Linked DNA regions of Drosophila melanogaster. The protein of the gene in region 1 purifies or fractionates together with the protein of each later gene. This does not show direct contact. Each region holds a gene or a part of one and is shown in the gene's direction. Other genes may lie near its edges.

Region 1 (8,782 bases):
TTCAAGCAGCAGTCGGGGAACCAGTTCGTTGGACCTCATCATACCACCGCCGGTCAACTTTTTGGGACGCAACAATCCATTCCTTATGGCCACTCCCAAAAAGGCGTCGCAGGGACGAAGTATTTCTGTGGGAACTGGAGTCGGAGTAAATGGCATCATAAACAGCATTTTCAAGCTTAAGGGCACCTCCAAGGAGCAGCCGCGCATGGTGCGCACCATCAAGCGAAGACTGAGTGCCAAAGACATTACGATAGGGCCCAATCAGGAAGTGCGCAGACGACGCACTCGCCGCCTGACCACGGCCATTGAGGTAAGAGTTTAACTAACAACAATGTAACTATAATGTTTGAGATGTTTTTTTCGTTTCCACTTAATAGGTCATCAGCACCACCACCATCAATCCCATACCCAGCCACTACCTTCCTATCTATGCCAAAGATCTGCAGCCACCCGCGCCGCCAATGGGAAAGCCGACACATGGGCGCCTGTTGCGCCAGCGACCACAGAAGCAGTCACCCAGCCAAAGCCGCCGGAACTCCACCAGCTCGACGGCAACCAGCAGCAGCAGCAACGGCATTGGAGCCCCAGGACATTCCATGCTGGACTTGAAGCAGTCGGTGAACAAGTACTTTGGTGGCGCTATGAATCGCATAGATGCTGGTGAGCCCTTTGCCATTCGGGCCAAGCGGCGCATGGGAAATGGACAGGTCCAGTACCTGGTGGAGTGGGGCGGAGATACAGCGACAACGGCGATTGGATTGCTTGGAAATTGAACCCTTTGGCATACCGACTCATTATGAATTTTATATTCTTCATTTCCATTATCATTTCTTTTCGTTATTATGTATTAATGAACGCTGCCAACTACGGGCCTCTTTATTTGTTAATGTTTAAAAGTTTATTACCAACCCACTGCCAAAATAGAAAAAGATTGTTCAAAATATTGGTTCAGCATTAAAGCGATAAAATGTTAAATTGTAAAAAAAAAAAACGAAAAAAAAGCAAAAAGCAACTGAATACAGGTTATAATTGTGCAATGGCAGTTAAGTGTTGCAGCAGAACATAAATAAGTTTTCACAAAATTGGTAAAAGTATTACAAGATTAATCTGGAAGCCTATGTAAAATTCGCTGATGAATGAAAACGTATTAAATAATGAGAACAATTCAGTTAAGTTCAGTACTGTACTTTAGCGATACGCCACGCCCATGTATGTTTTTGAAAAATATACCTTCAAATGGGAAAACTCACAAATCATGTCATGCATACAAAAAAAAAACAATTGATATACATACATACACACAAATTTAATAAAATGTAGGACTAGTTCAATAATTTTCACCCATAGTCTAGGCAAAACTACACAATAATGAATTAAGCCAGTACGTTTTATGTTTAACTATTAAATGCTACGAAAAATCAAAATTGAGTTGAAAGCAAACTAATTCTCAAGCCAAGTAAATGTTTGGCCAAACCAGATCGAAATATGTTTAATGAAGTATATAATGCCCAAATAAATGTTTCCGAAATGTCAAATCTTTTAAGATTTTACTCAGGACACGCCAGTAGGCGCCCAAAGTGACACTTCGCTTTGAAGCTTGTCAGGCACCGACGCCTCACACCGCTTCATTAGGTACTCGATCGCCAGATAGGGCACATGCACCAGACGTTCAAAACGGGAAAAAGAAAAAAAAAATTATCCTCAGCCATCCTTGAATGTGGTCTATTTCGTAAAAACAAAAACACAAAAAAAAAACTTAAAAAATTCTTCAATCTCTGTAGTGCCGATTTCCATCGAGAACGAAAAGAAGTACTCAAGCACTTCTCGGAGTGTCGACTTGCAGCCTCATCGCTTTATTCTCTGATTTAGGTAAGTTCGCACAGTGGGGAATTACAAAGATGGGATTCGGTTTTCGGAGCATACGCTAATATCTGTGCAGTGCCAAAAAATCATTTTCTAAAAGTCTACGCTCATTTTTAAAAGAAAAAAAAACTGCATTCCTAATTTTGGATTGTGTTTTATGAGACAAAGTATTCAAGGACATTGGCGAAAATATCAGAACATAAATGAAGCAGAGTTACCAAAGAACCCCTGAAAATGCACAAGTATTTCATGTTTCGGGAATTAGCTAAATATAAAAATTTTTTATGTGTGATGGCTGGCTTTTTTGAAATTCAAAATAATGCTTCGTAATTAGTAAATTGTCCTCACGGATTTTTTAGTGACATTTATTTGTCTCTAACCCTATGTGGCAGCATTGTGCAGTGGGATTTAATCGATACTTTGTGGGGTCATCGCTAACGAATCTCCTCTCTATGAGTCGTGTAGAGTCCGTTTACGTGAGCGGTCGTGGATTCGCTTTCAGCACACGGCTTATCACATATTTTTTGTGAAGAAAAAACATATAAAAAATAAAAAAAAATATTAAAACACAAAAACGTAACAAAAAAAATTGTAAAAAGTAGCAAAAAAAATCGAGCGTGTTTGAGAAGTAAGTACAGTGTAAAGCTATTGGTTACAATGGTGTAGAGAGTGAGAGGGCGCAACGCACGACAAAGCGAATAGGGAAATTTTCCTTTCCCATCGAAATTTGCTTTGTTTGCGGTCGTTCTTCGCTCAAAGATGGCGTCTATAAACGCCAGATTGCCCGCAAAATAGTGGTCTAGGAACTAGTTGTCGCATATTTTCGAGAAAATCAAAGAATTCCCCAAAATTCGATCAGGCAAACGCGTGTCTATCTTTGTGTCTGTGTGGAAATTTTCCAACACGAAGAGAAATAAAAGGGGAGAGCAAAGAGCAACAACAAAGCAAATGCCAACGTTGCCATGTCTACCGACTGTCACATGTACCAGTGTTGCCACCCAGACACACAGACAGAGAGACGAATAGAAGACCGAAAGCCACGCCGCTTTTTTTCTTTCTATTTCACCGCCTGCCTGGTCGAATCCATCCGGTCCGTAAAGATTAAGAAAAAACCCAAAATTCAGTGTCAAAAAAGTGGAAATTAATTGTTAAAAATTGCAGGTAGACCTGATCACCAAATATGGCTTCTCTATACGTCGGTGATCTCCCACAGGACGTCAACGAATCGGGACTTTTTGACAAGTTCTCGTCTGCTGGTCCAGTGCTGTCCATTCGTGTCTGCCGCGATGTGATTACCCGTCGCTCGTTGGGCTATGCCTACGTCAACTTCCAGCAGCCAGCCGATGGTGAGTAATCCCCGCAAAAGTAGTGTAATTTTTTTAGTCTTACTGCCCGCAAAAGTAGCCCCCTTCCGCGCGAAACAAAGAAAACACGTGTGCAGTTTTGCACTCGCTTACTCACACACGCACGCACACTAGCGCATGTCATACAGTGGGGCTAAACGCAAGTCCAAACTGGACTTTATTGAAAGATGTCTTTCATAGGAGACCAGATAAACGGCTTCCAAGTGTTTCATAACTTGTTCCACAGTGCACTGCTTACGTTAATCTCGTCGCGCACACACACACGCACTCAATTCCCGCCAGTGTGTACACACACACACATGATTATATCAGTTCCAGTTATTCTGGATGTATACGATTTGTGCGGGGGGATGATGGGGGCTAAACAGCTGGCTCGTGGCACTCATCAACTGTTCGCCTAGAAATTTCCGTCTCAATTTCGCACAAAATTGCAATTATGATGGAATAATATGGTTCCATACTGCCCAAACTGCTTATCGCAGCCCCGCCCATTGGTGGTTTCATTGTTTCCTTGCCCGTTCTTCTCGTTTTATTCGTGTGATGTGTGTTGTTTCCAAGCGGCAAACTTGCGCGCACGCACACGCCGACGCGCAAAAACATGTGTTCATTGTTGTTTGGACCATTTCTTTTTGGCCTTCATCTATTTTAGGTTATATTCCATTAACTGAGTTTCCGCACGTTCGCTCTTTAGTTTTCGTACTGCCTCCAACTTTTGTTTTGCTTTCACTTTCTCATATCTTCCATACTCTCCGCATTCCATCCATCAACACTTCCAAATTCTTGACATGTCAGTGAACTGCTTTTCGGCCTCTCTTTTAACCATCAAAATCTTGTTTTTACAAAAAACGAAAACAAAACTTTCACTGCGCATAGTTGGTGCTTCTTCGATTCCCGTTGTTCGCTTACATTTGTTTATTCAATTAAGCGCACAATGGCACAAAGCTGGCGGTTGGTGATGATTACGCTGCGTGTGAAAGTCTGTCGCATTCCAGCAAGTTTCTTGAACTCTAGCTGTTAAGGTTAGGTTGGAAAAACAGACCTTTCAAAAATGATACCATCTCGTTCTAGACTAGTAACACCCTAAATGTTTTTCTTTTTTCGATTCATATCTCGCAACTCCTACCCATTGGTTGGTCAGATTTATCTCTTTTTGACACGACTAAGATTCAATGTTGCCAGAGAAAGCAATGCAACTTACCATGTAGATGGCTGATCTATGCCATCCACAGAAGTAGAAGCATAACAAACACTAAATAATACATCATATGATTAGACTCGAAGGATTATGCCCTTTCTTATCTAAGCTTCTAGCAACTTCTACCCATTGGTTGGTCAGATTTAACCCATTTTGACACGACTAAGATTCATAGTTGCCAGAGAAAGCAATGCGACTTACCATGCTGATGGGTTTTGCATACCATCTGCATAACAAACACTCAATGTATCACATGATTAGACTGATAAGATTGTCCTTGTATTTAGACATCTAGCAACTCCTACCCATTGGTTGGTCAGATTCAACCCTTTTTGACACGACTAAGATTCATAGTTGCCAGATAAAAGATCAGACTTGACTTACCATGCACTGCGCTGCTTTTGCTCATGGCCAGTGCAGAAGTTGAAGAGTCACATTGTTATTTAAGCCCCTTCAACTTATAATGATCTTGATATACCCAAATCGTGTCGGTAGTAACCAAATGTTTTCCCGATTTTCATCAACAGCTGAGCGTGCTTTGGACACCATGAACTTTGACCTGGTTCGCAACAAGCCCATTCGCATTATGTGGTCTCAGCGTGATCCTTCTCTTCGTCGCTCAGGTGTGGGCAACGTGTTCATCAAGAACTTAGATAGGGCCATCGACAACAAGGCAATCTACGACACTTTCTCCGCCTTCGGCAACATTTTAAGCTGCAAGGTAGCCACCGATGAAAAGGGCAACTCAAAGGGCTATGGATTCGTCCACTTCGAGACCGAGGAGGCCGCAAACACGTCCATCGACAAAGTCAATGGCATGTTGCTCAACGGCAAGAAGGTCTACGTGGGTAAGTTCATCCCGCGCAAGGAGCGCGAGAAGGAGCTGGGCGAGAAGGCTAAGCTCTTCACCAATGTATATGTGAAGAACTTCACTGAGGATTTCGACGATGAAAAACTGAAGGAATTCTTTGAGCCCTACGGCAAGATAACCAGCTACAAGGTCATGTCCAAGGAGGATGGCAAGAGCAAGGGCTTCGGATTCGTTGCATTCGAGACAACAGAGGCTGCTGAGGCGGCCGTTCAGGCTCTCAATGGCAAGGACATGGGAGAGGGCAAGTCCCTGTACGTGGCTCGTGCCCAGAAGAAGGCCGAACGCCAGCAGGAGCTGAAGCGCAAGTTCGAGGAACTGAAGCAGAAGCGTCACGAGTCTGTGTTCGGCGTTAACTTGTACGTTAAGAACCTGGACGACACAATCGATGACGATCGTCTGCGCATCGCGTTCTCTCCATACGGCAACATCACATCGGCCAAGGTCATGACCGATGAGGAGGGTCGCTCCAAGGGATTCGGCTTCGTGTGCTTCAATGCCGCAAGCGAGGCTACCTGCGCCGTCACCGAGCTGAACGGTCGCGTCGTCGGCAGTAAGCCGTTGTACGTTGCTTTGGCCCAAAGGAAGGAGGAGCGCAAGGCTCATCTCGCCTCGCAGTACATGCGTCACATGACCGGCATGCGTATGCAGCAGCTGGGACAGATCTACCAGCCCAACGCGGCTAGCGGCTTCTTTGTGCCGACCCTTCCGTCAAATCAGCGTTTCTTCGGTTCCCAGGTGGCCACTCAGATGAGAAACACACCCCGCTGGGTGCCCCAGGTGCGTCCCCCAGCAGCCATACAGGGTGTCCAGGCCGGAGCTGCCGCTGCTGGTGGCTTCCAGGGCACAGCCGGTGCGGTGCCCACTCAGTTCCGTTCGGCTGCTGCTGGCGCTCGCGGGGCACAGCCTCAGGTGCAGGGCACACATGCCGCCGCTGCTGCGGCTAACAACATGCGCAACACTGGAGCACGCGCTATTACTGGCCAGCAAACTGCAGCACCCAACATGCAGATCCCCGGAGCCCAAATCGCTGGCGGTGCCCAGCAGCGTACTTCCAACTATAAGTACACCTCAAACATGCGCAATCCTCCAGTGCCACAGTTGCATCAGACCCAGCCAATTCCACAGCAATTGCAAGGAAAGAGTAAGTTTTAGGTCGACTGAAAATATGCACAATTTGTCACTAATGGCACCATTGCTATTTTTCTTGCAGATTCTGAGAAGCTCATTGCCTCGTTGCTGGCCAACGCCAAGCCGCAGGAGCAGAAACAGATCCTGGGCGAGCGTCTGTATCCGATGATTGAGCATATGCACGCCAATTTGGCTGGTAAGATCACCGGCATGTTGTTGGAGATCGAAAACTCTGAGCTCTTGCACATGATCGAGGATCAGGAGGCCCTTAAGGCCAAGGTGGAGGAGGCTGTGGCCGTGCTTCAGGTGCACCGCGTCACCGAGCCCGCCAACTAAGCTCGAACAGCTCAAGCGTATGAACATTTTACAAGAACACTTTACACCCAAAAAGTAAGTAGTCTACAAATTTTCCGAAAAGTTCAAGCTGTCTAAACTCGCCTCTCTTTTGTCCTTGCAGTTTTCCACTAATCTTTCAATACATGAACAACAAAAATTCGCATTCACTGATGCTTTGCGCAGGGGAGGATTGCCAAGGACACACAATTAACACAGAAAAACAAAGCGAAAAATCTACGGCTTTTTCTTTTCTAATCCCAGAAACATCAACAAAAGCAATTTCAATCATTTAATTTCGAACGCATTTACGCAAGTACACGAAGCAAAAGAAGAAAGTCACGCAATCAAATTCTGCAGTCCACTTATAAATTCTTTTTTTTTACATAAACATGTTAATTAAAAAAAAAAACGGAAAAATGTGAAATGAAAAAAATTTCGTTATTGCTTTAACTGGATCGATATTATTTTGTATGCGTATAATGAAAACACCAAAAAACCATTGCAAAATAAACAGATTAAAGCAAAGCATACATGTAAACCGCTTCTTGCAAGTATTGAAATTGTGTTTTAAAAATTTTAAAGAAGTTTCTAGTGTTACATACATATTGAGTTTTTCGTACACTTTTTCCATCCACACTTTCAAACAACAACAAACACGAAAGCGATATGTAATTTTTTTCAATTCTTTTTTCTCAAATTCAAACTTTAAGAAAGCTTTGTTTAGAAAAAGAAACGCGACAACCATACACTTTTAAAAAAGCAAAGAAAAAACAAAAAAATTGCAAAAGAGTTAAAATAAAAACGAAAAAATGGAAAGCAAACTGTGCAGAGAACAGAAGAATAGAAAGAAAGAAAGAAAAAGAAAACCGCAAGAATATGAGAGTCAAGTTTTTGCTACTTTGAAAAAAGAGAGAAAATACAGAATACCAACAGCTGAAAAAATATGTTGACAAATGAAAACAAAACATAAATCGAAAAAACTACAAAAAAATGGCAAAACCTATGTAAAAACAGCAAAAAAAAAATAATATATATAAACACAAAAACACACACACAGCAACACACATATTAAACAACCACAACATATATGAGAAATACAAGAAACACATGAAAAGCGCTAAAGCGTAAACAACTTATGAAGCATATTAATAAACAACAAAAAAGCAGACAGGATTTTTATGATTACACTATTATCCGAGAGAAGGAAAAACATGCATACATTTATAAACATTTGCAAGAACATATATGTATTTAATGAGAAGGAGCTGGTAAGTCGCCTCGATTTCATTTGCGTTCCGATTTCTGTTACAAAGGATATCGAGAGTTTTACCAGTAAATGATGTTTTTACACCATACATACATAAAATGATATATTAACGCAAGCGGAAGTAAGAAATGGCTTTCGCTCTGGGCAGTGAAATACATATTTTTTTATTAAACAAATCGAAAACTAAAAACAAATAAAAACCCAAGGAAAAATCATTGAAAAAATTGCAAAACACAAAACCACATGTATGCAGAAAATGCAAAATTATTTAAAAAAAACAAACAAACAAAATAATGAGAGTAAAACAGAAAAAAAAAACATAACCAAAACCCGAATTGGAATGTTAGTTCAAGGGAAATTGCGAAGAAGAAAACTTTTACTTTTCACGAAATATACGCAAGTCAACACACTTCTATATATAGCAGATATATATATGTATCCTTATATATTAAAGCGAAATAAAACATAATTTGTATGATTAAAGAAAATAGGATTCTTGAAACTTGATTGCCCGTCTTCGAAGCAAAAGCCCAGCAATTAAAACCATTTGAAGAAATTGTAATAAATGCAGAGAGAAAGTCCTTAAAACATACCTTTGTACACCCAACAAATTTAATTACAATAAAATTCCACTTCGGCAAAAGCGAGTGTTTTCATTTTTCAGCGGAATGTGGGTGGGATGGATTTTTATGTTTAATATCTATTTAATATTAACATACATATATGATATTGCTTTCATATGAGATGAGATGCCATAT
Region 2 (6,316 bases), on another chromosome or scaffold:
CTTACAATCCGATCTAGACAGATTTCGAATATGGTGCCGTGATAACGTATTAGACTTAAATGGCTCCAAGTGTAACGTTATGACTTACGCTCTAAGTGGGCACCCACCCAAAGAGCACTCTTTGGAGAGAATAACACGGGTTGATGATCTTGGTGGTCTTCTGGACCCTAAACTAAAATTTTCTGACCATATTTCGTCTATTGTCAATAAGGCCAGGGGTGTGCATGGTTTTATAAAAAGGTGGTCTAAGGAATTTGATGATCCTTAATTGACTAAAACCTTATTTATTTCGTTAGTCCGTCCGATTCTCGAGTACGGATCACTATCACCTGTTTGGAGTCCACAATACGCAGTCCACTCGGACCGCATTGAATCGGTCCAAAAAAACTTATTACGTTTTGCTTGCGGCGCCTAAAGTGGGATGCAAACCGTATATTACCTCCTTATTCCAGTACACTACGTTAATTTAATTTACCGTCCCTAGCTAACCGTAGAACCAAAGACACTAGAATAACAAGATGCGTAACGCCATACGATTTTTTGGCACACGATTTTTTCGCCGTGGCTCTAGAGGTGGCTCCAGGCTCTCTCGAATTTTTGTTAGAGAGCGAGAGAGCGGAGAGTGCTACAGCGAACAGCTCTTTTCATCGCATAAAGTGATAGCAGACAACTGTATGTGTGCACACGTATGCTCGCTCATGCATTGTAAATTTCACAAAATATGCCCTTCACCTTAGAAGTTCTTTGACTTTAAATCTATATTATTTTTGATCAATTGGCACCATGCGAAAAATTCTTGTTTTGCATTGCCTTAACGTTATTATTATATGAAAATAGATTAGAAATAGCCAAATCTATGTACATATTATCACAAAAATAAATTTCAAAAATGACTTTATATAAGAATATTTGTCATTAGAGTATTCATCTTGCGGCGTGTGAAAAATTAATAAGGCAATGATTGTTGAGTGCTTGTGTCCGTACTTCGTGCTTCAAGATATGAACAAAGCAAAGACACTAGAATAATTCTAGTGTCTTTGATATGACTTTTGCAATAAACAGTTATCATATTTAATTATTTACTATATTTATTATGTCATTTGACTTTATATGATGTAACATTAACATTAAAAGTGTTTAAAAAAAAAAATATTTCGCTTTCTTAAAAAATTGTCAGATGAGAGACAAATTAGAATTAAACATAAATATAAATGTGTAAACGGTAGCTAATTCGAGCGGCGATTTTAACAAACAAATTTAAAAAGCTTTAAAATGATAATAGTCAGTTAAAAATTATTTTATTTTATCATATTGCTACGAAATTGGCAAAAACTACCCTAATATGTACAATGTAAATTCGTTTTTTCGATCAGAATTGATTTCGGTCCGAAAATCGTCTTCTAGCACAACACGCACACATATATGCGTTCTCGTCTCTTGTTTTTACTCACACAAGCAAGCAAATTCTATTTTTAGATTTCTTATGCTCTCAGCGGGAGCGAGCGGAAAGAGAGCAATTTTGGCCGTCACTAAAAAATTGGCTGCATAGTGCCAAACCAATGTATGGCCGCTACGCATCTTGTTATTCTAGTGTCTTTGGTAGAACTATGCTTGGAACAGTCTTTATTTGTAAGCTTATTCGTGGGGATGTTAAGAGTTCTGACTTGATTAGTCGGCTTAACTTCTCAGTTCGAAGTAGTTCTCAGTAGTAGTTCTCAGTTCCTTATTTCAGTTCTCAGTTCCTTATTTTAAATCATTGTAGATCTAACTATGAGTTGCGTGACCCTTACAGAGTATTATGTTCTGATTATAATAGACTTTATCCTAATATCTGTAATCTTGACTCTCTGCCGCTCACAAAGCAATTGATTTTACCTTTTTTTATTTTATGATTAGATCCTACTAACAGTAATATTTAATATAGTTATTTTATATTATATTCATTTCCTCGATCCTGTTCTCTTTTTTATATCGCGTCTATCCTCTCGCTAATCGAGGCGTACGATACACGGCAGCGCCCCTCGTTCGGTTGGTCGGGAGGTGTCGCCGTTGGACCCGTGCCAAAAAAAAAAAATATATAATAATAATATAAAATAATTGGGTCTGAATACGGATTATTTTTGTTTTGATTTAAATTCTTTTATTTATCGATATTTTGATGTAATATAGAATCGTTTTTTACCAATTTCTTTATTGTCATATGTATTTTAGTCAGTGTGAAAGGGTCTTATTTTGGCCATAATTAACTAATTATATTTTACGTTCAAGAAACCCTAATTACGATGAAATTAACATTTTGTTTTAAAGTTGCCCATATGTTGTATTCTTAGATATAATGATCTATTTAGCCATGTTGCGGAAAGGGCTCATTATCAGGAATTGAACGCTGGCATAGCATGTACAATCATTATTATAATTTTGGCAAACCTCAATAGAATAAACGTATTATGAAGTAGTTTTAGTAAATAATTAACATTGAAATATGATTTTTTTTTTATTTTTAAAAACTTATGGTTAGCAAAAAATTAAATTATTAATGATGAAGCGTTTAAAAATGTGACCTAACTATCGTTGATAATGATATTCTTCAGTTATCACTATTTCTTGTGTGCTATCGATGTTTCAAATAATAAATGCAACTCTGTTCGTATGAACAGAACACATTGCATGTGGAAATTATTAAAAAATAGTTTTTGAATGTAAAGATAAAGCTGGAATTACTGCTTCATTTTTATAAATAAATACATTTTTAAAATACACTTAAAGTGGAATTCTTAACATTTGTATTTTTTGTACATAATCACGTCGGATAGGCACATACAAACATTTGCTCAGGTAAATTGATGGTTAATAATGAGCACTGGGCAACAAATATTACATGATACTTTGCAAGTTTACTGTGCACAGTGAAGGGAAAAAAGATTTTACCACTAACATTCTGAAATGTGTCTTAACTTTTTAAAAATGATGTAAACGATGGAATTCGTGGCACGTTTTCACCATATGCACCATTGTGATTGTGAGAACGAAATCTCCAAAGTCACAACGGCAACGTCGGCAAATAAGTAAGGCTCCAGGATGGATTGGCAAATGTTTAATAGAAATTATCTCTGGGCTTCAGCTCTAGACTTAATAAATTACAAAATGTCTACTTTATATTTTTGAAACATTTGGGTGAAATCTTTTGTGATATTTAATGATTTTATACGTGTCAGTTCTTTTAATTTCAGAGACCTCTCTGGTAGCTGTATATCAATATATTTCCAGGTAAAATATGCAGAACTGAAACGTGGACAATTAATATTCATTAATATTCATTAAAGAATCAAATGATTGAATGACGTCGTATTTGTGGGTCCAAAATCACCACAGAAATCGTCTATGAAACGGTAAATCTAACCGTTTGGCGATTTCCTACAGAGCTAACTCTAGGAATACACATACGTAATGCAACAGGCTATACCAACTTTACCAACACAATCAGATATAGATAAAGCCATGCAGCCCCATTCAGCACAAAATATGGTAAGTCGATATAAAAATAACATCTCCAAAATTATTTACATATATACATTTTGACATTATTTGCTGTATTACTTTCCTTGCAATTGTTTTAAATTAGTTCGTTAAATAAATATGTTTTCCTAGTTCCGAAAAGAGCTAAAACCTATTTTTTATAAGTTTGCCTGCTGTAGTCAATGTAAACAATCTATTAAGATAGTATCACACTTCTCGTACAATAACAGCAAAGTTTAAAAAGAAAATGCTATTTTTGTGGAATTTTTTTATATGTTTGTTTTATAAATATTGCGGTTTGTATAAAAGGTATATAATTCAATTAAAAAATTTATAAAATATATGTTTGCGATTACAATTATTTAAGTTACTTACTAAATGAATTAAAAAATTAAAAATTTTTTTAACGAACTTGATTGAATACTAATAATTGTTCTAGTCCTGTAAAGCTACATAATTCATAAATGAAGCTCTTCCGGGCATGGTATGAAGTACTTTATTTAAAACCTAAACTATAAAAAACCGCGTTTTTCCAAACATACATAAATCATATAGTTTTTATCGGTAAAAATATTAATTAAAAAAATTTTTATTTCAACGGTGGCTCCAAAAATGGATGCTGAATCTGGTTTGTTGGTAACTGGCAGACACTCAGCAACGTAATTTTAAAGCTAAACTCAAAACGCATTGTGATTAATCTATCCAAGGGAAAAAAAATATTCGAAATGTATTTTATTATATTGATTTAAAGGATTAATGATTTCACATATCCAAGTCACAGAATCAGTCCATATATAATAGTCCCTAATATAATAGTTTCGTTGTTTTTATTCATAAAATGTCAACTTGATATTGTATTTTATAGTGATGTCCTTTTGAAGGGCTTAATGATATAAGGCATATATTTAAATCGCAGTAAAAGAGATATTTGGGACCATATAAATTATATATATATTCTTTATCAGTATCAGCAGCCGAGTAAAATAAATATAAAATAGTCCAGAAGATAATAGCTTCATACTTTTTATTTCTGAATGACAACTTGATATACACCGTTTTTTGACCGCGTATAACTTTGGTTTTAAGGCTAATTGTCAACATGCCGGCGACGACTAAGGAGCAACAGTCGGAAAATTAAATGAAGCTATAACAAAATAAATAATAGTTTAATTGTTTTTAATCATTTAGTGTTCTTATTTTGTACGCACAACTTTTTTTTTATTAATTAATTAATCTTGTAATCTATCATTTGAACTGTGTTAGACAGCTAAATCCCATAAACATTATTTGTCCATAGGGGACGTAGGACAAAAACTCTAAACCCTAATAAAATTATCAAACCCAATGCATGTTTTATATATATTTGTTAATTCTGGATTTATTTATCACAAAATTTGAGGCTGAAAAGTATTAAAAAATCTGCATAAGTATAATATTCAAATTTCACAGTGCAGAAGTGTAATACTACTCAAAATTCCGATTCTTGATTTCTCAGTTTCATTTTATTTTTAAATGGGTTTGTTTTGGTTTTTTTAATACTTTGTTTAAGTGCAATAAAGTAGGATTAACCAATTATCTAATAGTTTTTATAACTTATATATTCGGCAACATTTTTTTTTAATCATTGTTAAATCAATTTTACAGTCCGAAAATGTTCCCACTCTTGTGATCTGTTGTAGATTTTGCCAGCCAATAAAAAGACCAAAAAGTATGATCAACAGGTGCCAACTTCAAAGCCACAATCTCTTCATCAGCCTCTTCAACCGCAGCATAGCCATCCCACTGCTCAGCCTCAGTTTCAGATAAATAAGGCATACAATGTGGTCTCCATTCTTAAGGCATCAGCGCAGATCGCTCAACAGTCCCCACACTTGACGAATCAGCAGCATCCACCAATCCATCACCCACAGCAAACACAGCAGCATCAACAAAGCTATACAAACGTTGTAAATAGAAGCTTATCTGCGTCTGAACCAGTTAGAGCCCAGTCATCGGTTATCTGTAACGGTTCAAGCATATTGACAGTAAATAGTAGACAACTGAATTCGGGTGATATGAATTCGACTGCCATTTATAACATATCCAGTTACCGAAAATTAACTGGAAGTCTAGATGGAAATGTTTGCTTTCTAAATGTACAGGACATTAAACAAAATGGCAACATCAGTGGGTCAGTAGTATCAAATAAGTCCATCGTCGGAGTCGGAAGTGAAAAAAGTTCTTGTACTGGAGTCAGTATTAACAACCAAATAGTATTGCCTAATGCGCAAATAGGAACATCTATGGGAATAGCTGGAACAACTACAGCAGGCACAAGCTACATGCACGAAAAGAATATCGTTGGCGTTAGCGTCAATTGTGTTAATACTAGTAAAAAGTATGATTTCAATAACAGTAGTTTGTTATCAAATAATAGTTACCCGGCATCTACAGCAGAGGTAAACCTTGCAAATTCTGTGACTTTAGGAAGAGATTCATTTTAAATAATTCTTAACTTCATTTCACCTCCCTTTTTTTTAATAATTAGTTTTTAAATACTTTAGGTCCCAAAATTTATTAAATATCAATACGATTTTTTATTTAATGAGCAGTTTTTCTTATAATGTGAATATATGTATACTTTTATATTGTACTCACAGTGCCTAATGTAATGTAAAGAAACCAAGAAACCCGCTATAGTCGAGTTCCTTGACTAGCTAGTTGGAGGCGAAAAAAATGGGGAAGAAAAAATATAGAAATACAAATCATTTAAACATTTTGGAAGATTGGGGGCAGCCTTTTGCGCTTTAAGGGCGTTAGG
Region 3 (6,377 bases), on another chromosome or scaffold:
GAAACTGTAAATGAAAACTACAAGCTACAACGAAGCCAGGATCATCCGATGAAGAATATTGGTAGCGGAAATCTAAAAACAAAAAAAAACGGATTCAAAGCTGTTTAAACTCAGTTATTTATACGGAGAAGATGAGGAGATTACCATTTGGAGCGCTTGGACCAGTCTTTGGGTGTCCAGTGCAGGCATTTCGAGTCGATGCGGATCTTGCGCTTGTCCATTGCTCGCCGGTGTTGCTCGATGATAACCCGGTTGATGCACACGATGTACTGGCCCTTGTAGTAGTTGATCAGGTTCAGGTTCTGCAGCGTTGAGATCACGTCCTCTTTTTTGATGGATGTGCATTCGCAGATGTCGCTGTGAAGAAAAATTTTGGGAGCATGATTAATCTATGTTTCGGCAATGAAGCACAATCTCTGTGGATTGAAAATTGTATTACTTTAAGCTTAGAACTAGCCATACTTTATAGTTATAGTGGGCTTTTCGCCGTCCGTGCTCGGGTTTTGGCTGATAAAGATCTCCAGTATGGTTTGCGCCCAGTACGATCGATAGGACAGCAAACCCAGATCAGACAATGGTTTCTCCGGCGATCCCGTCTTGCCCTCGAACTTGGACAACTCGTAGCTGAACTCAATGAGCAGCTTGCCGTAGCCCTTGCGCTGATACGGAGGCATTGTGAGAATGCAGGCCACGTTGTAGTCCTCTGTGCTCTCCTTCTCCTTGGAGAAGTACCCTACTATGTGGAAGCCGCGCGAGTCGAACTCTGTCATTACGTAGAAGAGAAACGGATCGGTATCATAGTAGAGTGTCTTGTGGTCGAGAAAGAGTTTGGCAAGCAGGCACAAGTTCTGGGCATACACCTTGTTTTTGCGTCCATCGATTTCAAAGAAGGAAATTGTATGTTTGCGATAGATCTCGTTTCCCGGTGGATGCCTAAGATTGCACTTGGACAGGTGCCTCTCCAGGCACTTCCTGCTCTTCCTGTACTTCAGGCAGAACTCGCAGATGTAGATGCAGGGCATTTGACACAGCTCTTGCGGATAGGGTGAGAAATACCAGGGCTTAATGCGATGCCTGCCCAGCTCGATCATCTCCACGTTCTTCATGCGGGTGACCACGTCGTCCTGGTGCGTAACCATGCTGCCTGATTGCCTCGGCGTGGGCGTCTTGCCATCCTGCGATCCATCACCATCATCATTGGCCGCTCCGCTTATTAAACCGTCGCCGGTCACATGCACGGGCGTAGCCGTGGGTGTCTGCGGAGTTGTAGGATGCGGATGTGACTGCTGCTGTTGACTGGTCAGACTGTGGTGTCCATGGGCCGAGCCTCCGTGGTTTTTTCGCTTGCGATTGATGCGTTTCTGAAGGGCTGCGGCCAGATTGTTGCCATTCACAAGCTCTCCCCCACTGCTTGGTGTTCCGGGTGGAGCCACAGAGTTTGGAATGCCAGCAGGGGGAGGAACACTGCCTGATGCACCAGTAGGAGTCTGGGGGATGGCTGCCAGAGCCCCGGAACCAGGGTGTTGCGGTGATGTAGGCCGAGAAACGCTGCCCGCTAGGGAATGGTGGCGCTGTGGCGTGGTCACTCCAGTGCTGGTGCCTGTTTGTGAGCCGTCTCTCCGCGGAAATTGCACCTTTCGCGTGTACAGATCCTCCTCGTTGACCCACTCGTCCAAGCGCTTGTTGACTGCGGATTGGCAGTTATACTAAATATGCTCCCACTGGACGACTTGGTACTCACAGTCCACATAGTGCACGTAAAACTGCCGGCGCCCATCCAACTCCTTGATGCTCACAATCTCCGCTAGTGGCCAGTCGTCCGTTTTGTGCATCCTGACGGGTAAACGACATCCCTCGGTTAGGGCGGCCTGCAAGTTTGCGGTTAAAACCATTAGAATGAACACCCAAAACACGCCAAGGCGTAGCGGAACCCACCGTTGACTCGCATATGGAGGCCACATCGTCGTCGAACTCATATTTGTGGTTAATTTTCATTTGTTTATATTTTACGCGTTTTTTTTTTCCTAAAACAGCAGTATTGCCAGATAGCGAAACGTAAATAACTATCGACCAATCGATTACCGCCACAGTGAATCAGCGGTTTAAAAATGTTGATGACATGGGCAGTGCTGCGCAGCGTCGCGTCGCCTTTTCAAAGTGCTGCACAACACAACAACAATTCCAGAGAGTTTTTCAATTCGGGTTCGGTATTTTTTCTCATGTGCCTACTGTGCAATTAAACAATTTCGCCCGCTTACAAACAACTGTAACATATTAAGCACAACCGTTCGACTCAATTGCAGTTGCTAGAACTTGAGTGCGCAGTTATGTGCTCCCTTCTTTTCAGTTGCCAAACCAAAAAATAAAAACGCTGAGAAGGTCAGAGAAATGTACACAGGCGTAAATTTGTGTGCGTGTGTGTGGGTGCGTACATTCGTGTGCGCTCGTGTGAGTGCGCAGAAAGTTATACAGCTGTCATCGACTGGCGTATTTATCAATAAATGACTACTGTGATCCGCGGAAAACTTCAGTTACTGGGTAATTGTGACCACAACTGCTGGGCAACTGTGCCGCAGTGCCCCAATGCTGACGAGCTGAGCGGGAAATTGGTGAAAAAGCTGTGTCAAAATGACGTGTTTTGCGATAGTGTTGCCACTGACAACAGCCGCAGGGCTGCCAACTCGATGGGCATATCCCACTAATTAGTTGCAAAACGGGCAGGCAATCTCGTGTTGATTAGTAAGATGCAAGCCTAGAGCAAACGCCGATTTAGCAATCTCAACGGCTTGCCCCTACAAACAACAAACAGCATTTGTCAACCCTGGCACGCAGCGTAGTTAGCAACACTGCTTTTTAGCCAAAAAAAAAAAAAAATAAAAAAAATGAATATGGAAAGAGACCAGTGCTTTTTAAAGAAATTCGAAGTCAGTGGGCCGCAAGGGGTCGCCAAAGACTAAACAGACGCACCTGCTACCACCCACCGCCCCTTGTCGCTCGTCCGCATGACCAGAACAACAACAAATGCTGCAAAACACCCAGTCAGTGGTCCAATGTCTCAGTTTCAGTTTTAGTCTCAACTTCATCCCCATTTCCCAATCAATTGCAGATCCGTGCGCACACATTTCCGTATTCCGGTCTGTTTGCGAGCAATCCGCATCCCCGTGCCCAGGAACCTACGTAAATGCCGCGAGCAAAGGTTTGAGCCGGAGGAGAGCTACTGACGACAGGCCTGTCAAGTGCAGCAGGAGTCCAAACTGATGCGCAATAGGTGGGCTCCCCTGTGCCTCAAACCGTCTGGAAGTCGAGAGGAATCGTTAGGAATCGGCGGAACAGCCTGCAGAGCACTTGCAGTCGCGGTGGCAACCACACGGCGGCTGGGCAGCTGGGCTACCTAGAAACATCGCGAAGAGAAGAAACAGTTTGTAAGCAGTTAATGGGAATGCGAGATATACCCGTTTACTAAAACAAACATTCCCCTCTTCTCACACGCCCTAACAGATTCGAGGAATTCGAATGGCATTTGTTTTTCTCCTTCGTTGCATGCCACCAAACGAAAGAAGATGAACAATGAACAAACGCCGTCATCATCGGACACACCGGCGGATCGTGTGGCATCTGGTGGAGCAGCTGCCAAACTGCCAACGATCATACCGGACACGCCCATCGTCTCGATTGCCGCTGGCACGATGAGCGAGAGCACCACGACGACCACCGTCACCAAAACAACGCCGACGCCGTTCCCACAGGAGCAGCTTATGACCATGATGTCAGACCATGTGGCGAAGGCAGACGCGCAGCTTGACGAGGCCTGTAGGAACCAGGGGGCCAAAGACGAGGACAGCCAAGGAGCGGCACCAGTGGCTGCCAACCATGTAGCCACCAGCGGCAGTAGCAGCAGAGGCAATGACCCCAAGAAGTCATCATCCCCTAGTAATAGCCATAGCTCTGGTAACCACGCAGCCACGGCAGACGCTGCCAAAGGATCCGCAGCAGAAGCAGCAGCAGGAGATACGTCCTTCTCGCAGGTCTTTGCCATGCTAAAGGATTCGCCCAGCGCTGAACTGTCGCGACCAAACCGCAGGGTACTCCAGTACGGAGCCACTGCCAAGGGCAAGACCCAGGACGATCAGAATGTCGGCAAGCGACAGAAGAAGAAAAAGGTAAGTGCGCTCTGGCTGAGTTGCATCTTAAGGTGGAAATATAGTGCATGTTAAGCAGAAACCGAGTTAAGATATTGTTTTATTAAGAAAAAGGTATAGTTATGTTTGTTACTCGCAAAATTTCACATTTGTGTACGTTCTGGAGGCTCCAAAGCTCTATGGTGTTTGGACTCCATATCTTATGCATGGCCAGGCTTGAATAGAGCTCTACCAGGGCGACTAAGTTGAGAAACAACTAAGTAAACGTAAAATTTGAAACTAATTTCGATTTTGGGTGGAATTCCAGTATTGGACAGCAAGTTGTCCGATCTTTACGTTACCACCAAAACCAAGGTATACATAAATTAGATATAAATATTGTTTATTTGCACACTAAGCTATAAACTAAAATAGATTCTTACGCTTGCGGTCCATTAAAGTTGTCGAAAATGAAAATGCCGAAATCCCCTTAAAACATGACCTTTGGAAAAAACTTTAAGTGAGCCGATTACTCACTCACAAACACTGTTTTATCGAAAACCGAATTTTATTAAAAAAAAAATAAATATTGACAGTCAAATTGCATCCCCCTAATGAATACATACTCACATACATACATATATGTATGCGAATAGAAGCCAAAGTACCGTTTACGAAGTTAATGGCAAAGAATTCGAAAATGATGTAGAAATAGACCAAGCATACTGTTATCTCGTTCTGACTGACTGGGATTGTGGCTTTCGAAATAGTGCCGTTACATTTGGTCCCATCAAGTAATCGCCACACAGGAACTTCAATTTCTGATCGCAGTCGGTTTTTTGACCAGCGCCTTCGATAATTATTGAAATCAAGACCCCGAATCGGGCAGAAGGAACGGATAAAACCGCAAAGCGTTTGTTTATCTTATAAAAGCATTGGTGACATCCGCGGCATTAACCACGAAAACTTCTCGCCTATTCCCGTTATTATTTCAGTTATTGTTTTTTTTTTTTTTTTCTGTTTTCTTGTGTTCGTGTGCAACACCATATAGTACACATGTGTGTGCGTATGTAGAGCGTTTACTTACTGGAACCGTGTGCCATTTAATACTTCTATTGCTCTGCGGTCGGTACTTCATCAGTTCGCATAAGGAACTCAGAAGGGCATGTGTTTGGAATAAGTGGAGCTCCGAATTCTTTTGTTTTTTTTTTTTTAGGTTAAGTCGCAGCGATTATTGTTTTACACGCATATGTGTTCGTGTTGATGACCCGAAAAATTGCAAAACTAATTGCCAAATATTGTTCTTCGACGCTTTTGCAGACAAAATACGATACCTGGGAAGATAGCGATTTTAATGATCTGGACGACGCATCATTGAAGAAACTTCTCGAAGAGGCCTACTGGTATCGAAATCCTGGCGACAGGAAGAACAAGAGCGAGCGATTTCTGGTAAGTTTTGGCTCATGTATGTGCAACATATATATGTGTGTATAAATATTTCTGCTTCACGTCTTTTACGCCTGCAGCAAATGCTCAAAAAGGCTGAGTACGACGAAGAGATCTCTTATCGTGCCATCAAATCCTGCCTCACAATCAACCCATCCGCACTAACGTCCAGTGCAGCAACAGGCTCGAGCGGCGGGAGCAGCAGCAGTGCAGGGCACAACAGCAGCTATAATTCCACCAATCACCGGTCAACGGATCCCGGCCAGCGGCACAAGCAGGGCGGCTCCCTGCAGGATCTCGTTGAGGCGGCGCACCGCAGCGAACTGGCCACAACCTCGGCGGCGGCGGCAGCAGCAGCGACAGCGGCAGCAACCCAACGTTTCAACTGTGATTACCAGCTGAGTGGTCGCTCCAATCGCCGGCAGCAGCAGCAGCAACAGCAGCACAACCAAAACGCCACCTCCTCCGCATCCGCATCCAAAAAGATCAAGAACTTAAACGTCTCGGGCCGGCAGCGCGAAGGAGGCAGCCTGCCCAGCAGTGTTAACTTTGAGCCGGCATCGTCTGCCATGGAAGCCAAGCAGAATAAGCAACAGGCTCAGCCTTCGACAGAAGCTGCAGGTGGCTCGTTTTCGGGGTCGGTCGGTAACAAGCACCACCACCGCAGCAGCACCGGCAGTTGCAGCAGCCTGATAACTCAATCGCGCGATACGGAGGCAAACAATCAGTTCGACTTGGACATGGACGATGCGACGGGTGTTGGTGCCAGCGCCGTTGTCGGTGCCAGCGGCGACCAAGACGACAACATGTTGG

Evidence for each region. Proteins that work in one complex are often made in the same cells at the same time.
Region 2: the proteins of pAbp (region 1) and eIF4G1 purify together in Drosophila melanogaster (affinity purification with western blotting; 3 studies listed by BioGRID, with this or other methods). This does not show direct contact.
Region 3: the proteins of pAbp (region 1) and tyf purify together in Drosophila melanogaster (affinity purification with western blotting; 4 studies listed by BioGRID, with this or other methods). This does not show direct contact.

What each region holds. Positions count from the first base shown.
Region 1 is NT_033778.4:18,138,464-18,147,245, forward strand, and holds pAbp (poly(A) binding protein), read left to right. Parts: upstream 1-1,614; 5' UTR 1,615-1,869; intron 1,870-2,313; exon of another isoform or gene 2,314-2,491; intron 2,492-2,911; exon of another isoform or gene 2,912-2,953; intron 2,954-3,024; 5' UTR 3,025-3,043; coding exon 3,044-3,209; intron 3,210-4,338; exon of another isoform or gene 4,339-4,475; intron 4,476-4,536; exon of another isoform or gene 4,537-4,679; intron 4,680-4,715; exon of another isoform or gene 4,716-4,861; intron 4,862-4,949; coding exon 4,950-6,434; intron 6,435-6,503; coding exon 6,504-6,757; 3' UTR 6,758-6,811; intron 6,812-6,878; 3' UTR 6,879-7,772; downstream 7,773-8,782. Other genes in the region: Pcl (polycomblike), read left to right, coding at 1-310, 378-773.
Region 2 is NC_004353.4:927,031-933,346, reverse strand, and holds the start of eIF4G1 (eukaryotic translation initiation factor 4G1), read left to right. Parts: upstream 1-2,631; 5' UTR 2,632-2,835; exon of another isoform or gene 2,836-3,065; intron 3,066-3,215; 5' UTR 3,216-3,267; intron 3,268-3,323; 5' UTR 3,324-3,447; coding exon 3,448-3,525; intron 3,526-5,195; coding exon 5,196-5,954; intron 5,955-6,316.
Region 3 is NC_004354.4:4,114,858-4,121,234, forward strand, and holds the start of tyf (twenty-four), read left to right. Parts: upstream 1-2,692; 5' UTR 2,693-3,038; intron 3,039-3,106; 5' UTR 3,107-3,422; intron 3,423-3,498; 5' UTR 3,499-3,560; coding exon 3,561-4,160; intron 4,161-4,856; exon of another isoform or gene 4,857-5,438; coding exon 5,439-5,567; exon of another isoform or gene 5,568-5,583; intron 5,584-5,644; coding exon 5,645-6,377. Other genes in the region: Tip60 (Tat interactive protein 60kDa), read right to left, coding at 72-72, 145-357, 463-1,687, 1,742-1,868, 1,936-1,995.